Linked DNA regions of Caenorhabditis elegans. The protein of the gene in region 1 purifies or fractionates together with the protein of each later gene. This does not show direct contact. Each region holds a gene or a part of one and is shown on either strand. Other genes may lie near its edges.

Region 1 (6,338 bases):
ATGTTTTATAAATGTTTTATAAATTTCAGAGCATATGAAATCATTGTACATCAACTGATTAGTCACAAATTCATTATCAGGAGTAGTATGGGAATGTTAAATTCGTTATTTGTTTACACACCGCTGGTTCTTAGTAAAATTTTCTAATAGGAAGTAACTGGAATTTGTTTGGAAACCTACAAATCTGTTAATTTCGGAATTAATATCCAAGTTTCCAAATTAGCAGAAATAAAATTTTGAAGTAATATCTGGTTGAAATGTTGTGTTTCTGCTATAAAACTTGAAAAGAAACCTTGAATCCTGCTAGAGAATCGCCTTTGGTCAGAAAATCGAACATCAGTTTTTACTGCAAGTGACAATTTTCAGGGAGTATTTGAAGCCGTTATTTTTAATCCCAACTTTTTAAATGAAAATGAGTATATTTTTCATATTTATGATATGCATATATATATGTTCAATCTATCTGTGTTAGAGCTTGATGATTATTTCGAATCGGGCGGGTTTAAAGATCTGCCAAAAAAATTTGCAGTACTACCCTGTCTTGAAAAAAAAAGAAGAAAAACTGTGATACAATTTAACAATCATGAACATACGACAATTCTCTACAAATTATAATATCATAATGAATTCCATATTTTGTTTAAACAAATTGGACTAAATGAATTTCCTCGTCTCTAATAAACAAATAGAACGTGGAAAAACCTTCTTACTAATCATGATTTCTGGTCACAATTGTGACTCGATATTTGCTAAGATGACGATTTTTCTTTTCTTCCTACGGTACTGATCGGACTGTTGTAAAAGTTTCACAATTTTGAAATATTTTATTTTATTTTTATTTTGCATAATTTCCAAAGGTCATCCATCTCATTTCCATTCTCAATAAAAAAAATTTTTAAAGTCTGCCTCTTTTTATTAAAGAAACGATGTTATTTGCTCACTAACTTCCATTCACACGTTTCCAGCGAGATAGCAGGTAAGTTGAGAGACGCAGGTGGTTAGACTACAAACAGAAGGGTGGCCGGCTGCCACCCTCTCCACACCACTATTTCACAACATTTACAATGAATTGATCTACCCGCCAAATTCTGGTTTTCGGCAATCCAAAACTGTTCGCTTTGTTTTCCACTTTTTCATTTTTCATTTCTCCTCCACTACTTATTTGGATTTTCTTTTTCAAATGTGTCCCGTTTAGTTTTTTTTTGCATCTAACAACCTTCTGTTTTTTTCCAATATTTTCATTAAACAAGCCTCCAAATTCTTCATAAAATTCCTCGTGAAAAGAAATTTCTTGTCGTGGTTACTGCTGACGCGTTTTGCGATGAGTGTGTGTTGGCACGCTCTCCGCCGTCGCTGGCCAAGCCTTTTTCTCTCCCCGCCGCAGTACTGACTGCGAGGCTGACTCACTGCGGTCATTTCGTTTGCCTCACCCTCACTTTTAGTCTCTGCATCTCCGAGTCTCTCCGCGCTTTTTTGTACGCCGATCGTTTCTTCTTCTTGTTTTCCAAACATTCAACACCGTTTTGCCGACAATGATTCTGAATATTTGTTGATTTTGTTTTTTCAAATGCGATTTGAGGATTTTTTTTTCTAATTTTATATTCTATATTCTTGAAGGTGATAAATTTCATTCTAAAACATAATTATTAAACCTCCGAAAACCTCATTGCGAAATCGTGCTTTTTCCATTAAATCTTCTCAATGCTCTTCCTCATATCATTAATCGACTAAAAAAATCGATTTTCAGGTAGTTCAGCGTATAACCACCAGGATCAGCCATGTCGTGGCAAAACCAGGGAATGCAGGCGTTGATCCCTGTGATCAATCGTGTCCAGGACGCCTTCTCCCAGCTGGGCACATCTGTCAGCTTCGAACTTCCACAGATCGCCGTCGTCGGAGGACAGTCCGCTGGAAAGTCGTCGGTGCTGGAGAATTTTGTCGGAAAGTGAGTCACAAGAAGAAAAAAAACATAACTTTGCGAAATAAAATCACAATTTTTTTCCTTTCCAGAGACTTCTTGCCACGTGGATCAGGAATCGTAACACGTCGTCCACTTATTTTGCAGCTTATTCAAGATCGCAATGAGTACGCCGAGTTCCTACACAAGAAGGGTCATCGCTTTGTGGATTTTGATGCAGTTCGGAAAGAGATTGAGGATGAGACTGATCGTGTCACTGGACAGAATAAGGGAATCAGTCCACATCCAATCAACTTGCGTGTCTTTTCTCCAAATGGTAAGCATTTAGAAACTCACAGAAACGCAAGTGCGCTGGATGATTTGAGCATCTGAAACCAGACTTATGCAACTTTTTTTAAAATTTAAATTGCATTAAAGATTTCATAAATTTACAGTGAGTTGCACAAAATCACTGGAAAAATTCACACATTTTAATTAATTCATACTTAATTTTTCAGTTCTAAATCTGACACTCATCGATTTGCCCGGTCTCACAAAAGTGCCCGTCGGAGATCAACCAGCAGATATTGAGCAACAGATCCGTGACATGATTCTCACATTCATCAACCGTGAGACTTGCCTCATTCTTGCCGTCACTCCGGCCAACAGCGATCTCGCCACTTCGGATGCGTTGAAACTTGCGAAGGAAGTCGATCCACAGGGTCTTCGCACGATTGGAGTCCTCACCAAACTTGACTTGATGGACGAGGGAACCGATGCTCGCGAGATCCTCGAGAACAAGCTGTTCACACTTCGTCGTGGCTACGTCGGAGTTGTCAATCGTGGGCAGAAGGATATTGTCGGTCGCAAGGATATTAGAGCTGCTTTGGACGCCGAGAGAAAGTTCTTCATCTCACACCCATCCTACCGACATATGGCTGATCGGTTGGGAACAAGCTACCTTCAACACACTCTTAATCAACAGCTCACCAATCATATCCGTGATACACTGCCAACACTTCGTGATAGTCTTCAAAAGAAGATGTTTGCTATGGAAAAGGATGTGGCCGAGTACAAGAACTACCAGCCAAATGATCCAGGCCGCAAGACCAAGGCTCTTTTGCAGTAAGTGATTTCAATGGAGGTGCTTTATTAACAAAATTTTTGCAGAATGGTTACCCAGTTCAATGCTGACATTGAGCGCTCCATTGAAGGTTCCTCTGCAAAGCTGGTTTCAACCAATGAGCTCAGTGGAGGAGCCCGTATCAATCGGCTTTTCCATGAGCGTTTCCCATTTGAGATTGTTAAAATGGAAATTGACGAGAAAGAAATGCGCAAAGAAATCCAGTATGCCATCAGAAACATTCACGGTATCCGCGTCGGTCTCTTCACTCCGGATATGGCGTTTGAGGCAATTGCCAAAAAGCAAATCACCCGTCTGAAGGAGCCATCGTTGAAATGCGTTGATCTGGTGGTCAACGAGTTGGCTAATGTGATCAGACAGTGCGCTGACACTATGGCTAGATATCCACGTCTTCGTGACGAGCTGGAAAGAATCGTCGTCTCGCATATGCGTGAACGTGAGCAAATTGCCAAGCAGCAAATTGGGCTCATTGTTGACTACGAACTCGCTTATATGAACACAAACCATGAGGATTTCATTGGATTCAGCAAGTAGGAGTTTAGACTTTGCTTTTAGATGTTTAATTTTATTTTTTTAGTGCTGAAGCAAAAGCCTCCCAAGGACAATCAGCGAAGAAGAATCTTGGAAACCAGGTGATCAGAAAGGGCTGGCTCTCACTGAGCAACGTATCGTTTGTGCGTGGCTCCAAGGACAATTGGTTTGTGCTCATGTCGGACAGTTTGAGTTGGTACAAAGATGATGAGGAGAAGGAGAAGAAGTACATGCTCCCATTGGATGGTGTCAAGCTGAAGGATATTGAGGGTGGATTTATGTCTCGTAACCACAAGTTTGCTCTGTTCTACCCCGACGGAAAGTGAGTTACTCAAGAATTTTGCGATTTGATTGCCATTTCAACATTCCAAGAGCCCGCACGCTTTTCTTTCCACATTAGAGTTTCATTAGGCAGAAACACAGGAACACTAAATTGAGCATGAGTTTTGAAACGAGACAAAAAACGCACACACACACAAAATCAATTTTTTTTGAATATTTGTTTAAATTAAATTAATTTGCAGGAGGTGAGTGTATAGTTTACTTTCTTCACTTCTTCTTCTTCTTTAATGACTTGTAAGACAGAAAAACCTTTGTGTTGTCGTCCTTGTGATCTGTTTTCATTTTTTTTACCCGAAAAGTTTATCCACCTTGAAACCAACACCTTTCACTTCTGTAGTCAATTTCTTATTTTTCCTGTTTCTCTTTCTCTGCTGTGACAGTTTCAGTTCAGACAAAAAAAAATACAGCATGCAAAATGCTTTTTAGATAAAAGATTCTGAACCAGCATGAAGATGTAAACTCATGTATCCTTGACCTCACGCACTTGCTTCTCCCATAACCCTTTGAATTCCAGGAACATCTACAAGGATTACAAGCAGCTTGAGTTGGGATGCACCAATTTGGACGAAATTGATGCGTGGAAGGCTTCATTCTTGCGTGCTGGTGTCTATCCAGAAAAGCAGAAGGCACAGGAAGATGAGTCCCAACAAGAGATGGAGGATACCTCGATTGATCCACAACTTGAGAGACAGGTGGAGACAATCCGTAATTTGGTTGATTCCTACATGAGAATCATTACCAAGACAATTAAGGACCTGGTTCCAAAGGCGGTGATGCATTTGATTGTTAACCAGGTGAGGGATTTTAAAAGAATTGAATGATTCATCGTGATATCATCACGGCCTGTTTTTTTAACCGTACACAATAAACCTTAAACTAAATATCTCAATAATTTCAGACAGGTGAGTTCATGAAAGATGAACTTTTGGCCCATCTCTACCAATGCGGCGACACTGATGCTCTCATGGAGGAATCTCAAATAGAAGCCCAGAAGCGCGAGGAGATGCTCCGAATGTACCATGCTTGCAAGGAGGCGCTCCGCATTATCTCTGAAGTCAACATGAGCACCCTTGGCGACCAGCCGCCGCCATTGCCGATGTCTGACTACCGCCCACACCCATCTGGACCTTCACCGGTGCCGCGTCCGGCTCCTGCTCCACCAGGCGGACGTCAGGCCCCAATGCCACCACGCGGAGGACCCGGTGCCCCACCACCACCAGGCATGAGACCACCACCAGGTGCGCCAGGAGGCGGCGGTGGCATGTACCCACCGTTGATTCCAACGTAAGTTTATGCCTATTTTTTTTCGAAAAGAGCACCAGATCTCTTCTAATCTTTCCTATTTTGGTCCGTCATACTCTTTCTTCTGTCAAAATTTTTTTTCTGAAATTTAGAAAAAAAAATACTGTCAACAAGTCAGAATAAAACCTAAAACTAACGTGTACCAACCACTCTAGGCGTCCGGGACCAGGCGGCCCACCACCCAACATGGCACCGCCTAGATAATAATGTTGTGAATAATTCCCCCACTGACCAAAGGTTTGTTAATCGCGAAGAAGCAGTACAGAGAAGTGTATAATTGTTTGTTGTAATCGTGATGTGTATTAGCAGCATCTATCTAGTGTTGTGATCCCTTGGCACTTTATCGGAACATTTTTATATTCCACTATCTTCCTGTGATTTTTTCTACAGAAAGAAGCAAAAGCTAACTTTTCTTTCTCATCAAATTTTTCATAATTTCGTCATTATTTGCATGTTTCAATGGTGGTCTAGCTTTCTGTTGTTGTAGTATTAATCTGAAACGTTGTTTTTTTTTTCAGAAGAGTACCGACACCATCCAACGGAGCACCAGAGATTCCAGCTCGCCCGCAAGTCCCCAAGAGACCTTTCTAAATGCTTTTACATCTCCATCCTAGCTCACTTGTCATACTATTACCGTTCCCATAGTAATTGTACAATGCCCCCGTTTTATCAAGCATTTCTTTTTTTTTTTTGAGAATTTTTAAATTAATCAATATCCCGAGTTCTTCCACCTTTTGAGCAAGTCTCGTTGAGGATTGCATTGGTCCCAGCGCTAACTAGGCGTCAATTCATCCACCTCTCCATTCTCTCTCCCGTTCCAACTGTGTTTTTCTTTGTCAGCGGCGAATTTTCCACAACCAATCGAGTCCTATTTCTCTTTTTTTCCCCCACCTCCCAATAATTTTATTTGCATGTTTTATAAACTCACTTTGTTCAATAATTTATTGATTTTATTTTTTCTATGATTTGAAACTTTACATTTTTCCTACTCTTCTATAGCAATACTTTGTCACTTACAATAACCCCCCCCCCCCAGTCTGCCTATATTTATTTAGATGTTCTTTATGGCCACCCAATGTATAAACTCTTTTAGTGCATTTGTAGGTTCTTTCTTCATCCCAC
Region 2 (4,023 bases), on another chromosome or scaffold:
AGAGAGAGAGAGAGAGAGAGAGAGAGAGAGATTATTATTATTATTTCGTCCAGGAAACTTTTGGAATGTCGTTGAATTCTGTCATCTCGCCGAGCTGCTTGTTCAACTTCTCCACCTTTTCACGATGACTCAACGCCGCCTGTTTCAGCATTCTTTCCGCCTGAAATTATGTGAATTTTAAGTATTAAAAAAAAAAGCGCCTACCATGTTCGCCTGTCTTCTAGCCTCGAACCGAAGCTCAGCCTCGGTTTTGTGTGGCCCACCGCCGGAAGTGTTTCTGGAATCTCTGGGACCGTTAGCTGTCTGGTTTCGGATTACACATACCTTCTGATCGTCATGTCAACTTGCTTCAAGTCCATAGCTGGCTTACTCTTTTTAGTCTTCTTTGGCGCTTCTGTCGATACTTTTTTCAACTTGAGAGATCCTTTGACGACTGTGTCTTTCATTGTTCTGAATATGAAAATTGTGAACCAGTGTCTACCTTCTATCGAGCTTTTGCAAGATATTTTAATGATTGAAACATAATGAGAACACTGGAAAAAAGTTTAAATTAATCATCGTTCATTCGAGTCATAAAAATATTGGGAGTGGGCGAAAGAAAAGATCATTGTACAGGAAATTACGAAACGGGGCAGGATAATTTAGTGATTGATACACAGATTATTGCTCAGACTCGTATGTCTCCCCTTCTCCGGCGAACTCGTCGAGTGGCTCGTCTTCGGCGGTAGCTTCCTGGTATTGTTGGTACTCCGAGATCAAGTCGTTCATGTTGCTTTCAGCCTCGGTGAACTCCATCTCGTCCATACCCTCACCAGTGTACCAATGAAGGAAGGCCTTTCTGCGGAACATGGCGGTGAATTGCTCCGAGATACGCTTGAAGAGCTCCTGGATAGCAGTGGAGTTTCCGACGAAGGTGGCAGCCATCTTGAGTCCACGTGGTGGGATGTCGCACACAGCAGTCTTGACGTTGTTTGGAATCCATTCAACGAAGTACGAGGAGTTCTTGTTCTGGACACTGAGCATCTGCTCGTCAACCTCCTGAAAAACAAAGCATATAGTGAAAAGTTACAAGCAATCGATGAACTTACTCTCATGGACATGCGTCCACGGAACATAGCAGCAACGGTGAGGTATCTTCCGTGTCTTGGATCGCAAGCAGCCATCATGTTCTTGGCGTCGAACATTTGTTGAGTAAGCTCGGCGACAGTCAATGCACGGTAAGCCTGAGCTCCCTTGGCGGAGAGTGGAGCGAATCCAGGCATGAAGAAATGAAGACGTGGGAATGGAACCATGTTGACAGCCAACTTGCGAAGATCAGCGTTCAGCTGTCCAGGGAAGCGGAGGCAGGTAGTCACTCCAGACATTGTGAGAGACACGAGATGGTTCAGGTCTCCGTATGTTGGGTTGGTGAGCTTTAGAGTTCTGTAGCAGATATCGTAGAGAGCCTCGTTATCGATACAGTAAGTCTCGTCGGTGTTCTCAACAAGCTGGTGGACAGAGAGGGTGGCATTGTACGGCTCGACGACGGTATCCGAAACCTTTGGTGATGGAACAACCGAGAAGGAAGACATAATTCGATCTGGGAATTCCTCGCGAATCTTGGAGATGAGAAGGGTTCCCATTCCGGATCCGGTTCCACCTCCAAGAGAGTGTGTGAGCTGGAATCCTTGAAGACAATCGCATCCTTCAGCCTCTTTGCGGATCACATCGAGCACGTTGTCAACAAGTTCTGCTCCCTCGGTGTAATGTCCCTTGGCCCAATTGTTTCCAGCTCCAGATTGTCCGAAAACAAAGTTGTCTGGTCTGAAGAGTTGTCCGAAAGGACCGGACCGCACAGAATCCATCGTTCCTGGCTCGAGATCAACGAGGACTGCACGTGGAACGTATTTGCCATCTGAAAAGATCGAAATAAGAACTGCTTTATCTTAGATAAACATACTGTTGGCCTCGTTGTAGTAGACATCGATTCTCTCCAGCTGGAGATCGCTTTCTCCCTTGAAGGTTCCGTCGGGCTGGATTCCGTGCTCATCGGAGATGACTTCCCAGAACTTGGACCCGATCTGGTTTCCGCACTGTCCGGCTTGAACGTGGACGATTTCTCTCATGTTGTTTCTGAAAAATGAAGGAAATAATGGGTGTGCGACGGAAAGGAATGATGAAATAGGACGAGGGCACACGCAAGAAATAAATCGATTGCACCCGACGTAAAACATTTCCGAAAATCATCAAAAACAGTGAAGTGATAAAAACGGCATGATAACGATGCGAAACCGACAAAATGACCAGTGTTCGCCTAAATTTTGGGACGAGAATGACTCATTTGCCGCGGAATTGGTTTTCGAATGGGTTTTTTGGCGCCACGCGTCGCAATACGCGCGCGTGTGCCATGGAGCGCACTTGCTTGTTTTCAAAAAGTTTAAATTTTTAAGCCTGCTTATTTTTACTAAAGCATTTTTAAATACATAAAATTCAATTTTTTCTAGTTGCAGCAAATAAAATAATAAATCCAATGCCCAGAAACATAAAAATTCAAGTCTCGAGCCGGTAATATCAATGGCTATAAAGTTAAATGGTAATCCTGTAATTCTGTAAATTTAAATTAATTTTTTTACTCAATTTCCAGGTTCAAGTCGAAGTTTTGTGCCATCTCTTCGTGTTTCTGCATTTTTAATCTTCATTTTCTTTGTTATCACTTATATAATTATCTACAATGTCTCCTTCTCCGAGCCTTCCTGGATAACGCAAGATGCTCTCAAACAGTAAGAATCTCGAAAAAATGCATTTATCGATGAAATTTTTTTTAGAAACATTGAAAATCTAGACGATTATGACGCGTCATGCAGTGGATACTCTATTGGAAGAATATTACGGGAGCAGAAACGGTATCTTGTTGCTTTTTTTGAGAAACGCTAAACTATTTTTTATAATTTTCTTCCAGAATCCTTGCTTCAGTTCGTTTGGAATTGACGGAATCTCAAGTAAAAATTGAAGAAATTCGGACTGTTCAAGAAGAACTACAAAGATTGATTCCTCAGAAACGTATGCGGATTTTTAGATTTTGAATTTTAAAAATTCCAATTTCAGAACTAGAACTATCGGCTCTAGAGGGAGAAATTGAAGCTGCACAGCGACAGTTAGAAGAGCTCCGAGAAACGCAAAATGTCAAAGTATTTCTGCCATTTTCACCGCTTCAAATTCCACGGGAATTGGAGCAACCGTAAGCTTTTTTCTTTAAATTTAGATTAGGTTTTCATCAAGATTTTAATTTTCAGATCTCAAATTTCTCCGAATCAGCTCGATGACATCATTGATTACAGTCGATGCTCCATATCCTCATTTATGCCAGTTTATGTAGATATTATCACTTCAGGGCAATCGGAGAAGGAATGGCTGAACGTGTTTCAAGAAGTGATACCTAATTTAGTAGAAACACCGGATAAGGCGTGTATAAAGGTGATTTTTTGAAAAAAATAATCCTTTTAAAAATAGGCTTTTCAAGGCCAAATTGAATCTGCCAGCCTAGAGAAATTACTCCATTTTTGGAACAAAATACGTTAAAATTGTCCGATTTCAGGAAATATCTGGGTTTTTTCAACCTAAAAAGATAGAAAACAATCTAAATATAACGAATATACAATGTAAAAAATTATTTTTCAATTTTGCAATTTTTTTTGATAATTTTTTAAATATAAGTTGTCACATTTTCAGACTTTTTTGTTAAAAAACTTGATAACGAGAGAGAAATTCGATGAAACATCAAAGTTGGCCTTGAAAATCGAAAAGCAAATATAGTTTTATTCGGAGACTGTTTTCTGTCATTATTCCAGCAAATTTCATGGATTTTGTTCCAATAATAATTTTTTTTGCACATTTGAAAAAATCCTATAAGTTTTTCGACCGTTTTCTGAAATTTTTGCCAAAACAAATCGTTTTTTTTTTCAGATCCACATCTCAAACGGCATAGCCTCACCAAATACGACCTTCAATTCTATACTATTCAATGTTGGAAGCCCGATTATCAAT

The links.
Region 2: the proteins of dyn-1 (region 1) and tbb-1 purify together in Caenorhabditis elegans (affinity purification with mass spectrometry, with the first as the bait; one study listed by BioGRID). This does not show direct contact.

What each region holds. Positions count from the first base shown.
Region 1 is NC_003284.9:15,567,143-15,573,480, forward strand, and holds dyn-1 (Dynamin), read left to right. Parts: upstream 1-1,778; coding exon 1,779-1,945; intron 1,946-2,010; coding exon 2,011-2,234; intron 2,235-2,415; coding exon 2,416-3,022; intron 3,023-3,067; coding exon 3,068-3,571; intron 3,572-3,618; coding exon 3,619-3,894; intron 3,895-4,428; coding exon 4,429-4,708; intron 4,709-4,812; coding exon 4,813-5,198; intron 5,199-5,371; coding exon of another isoform or gene 5,372-5,420; exon of another isoform or gene 5,421-5,453; intron 5,454-5,734; coding exon 5,735-5,807; downstream 5,808-6,338.
Region 2 is NC_003281.10:10,740,321-10,744,343, forward strand, and holds tbb-1 (Tubulin beta chain), read right to left. Parts: upstream 2,113-4,023; 5' UTR 2,106-2,112; coding exon 1,940-2,105; intron 1,895-1,939; coding exon 1,089-1,894; intron 1,039-1,088; coding exon 661-1,038; 3' UTR 548-660; downstream 1-547. Other genes in the region: tass-1 (Protein FAM32A), read right to left, coding at 41-160, 205-286, 325-446; rib-2 (Exostosin-like-3 homolog), read left to right, coding at 2,554-2,572, 2,624-2,759, 2,805-2,882, 2,939-3,039, 3,085-3,217, 3,273-3,453, 3,943-4,023.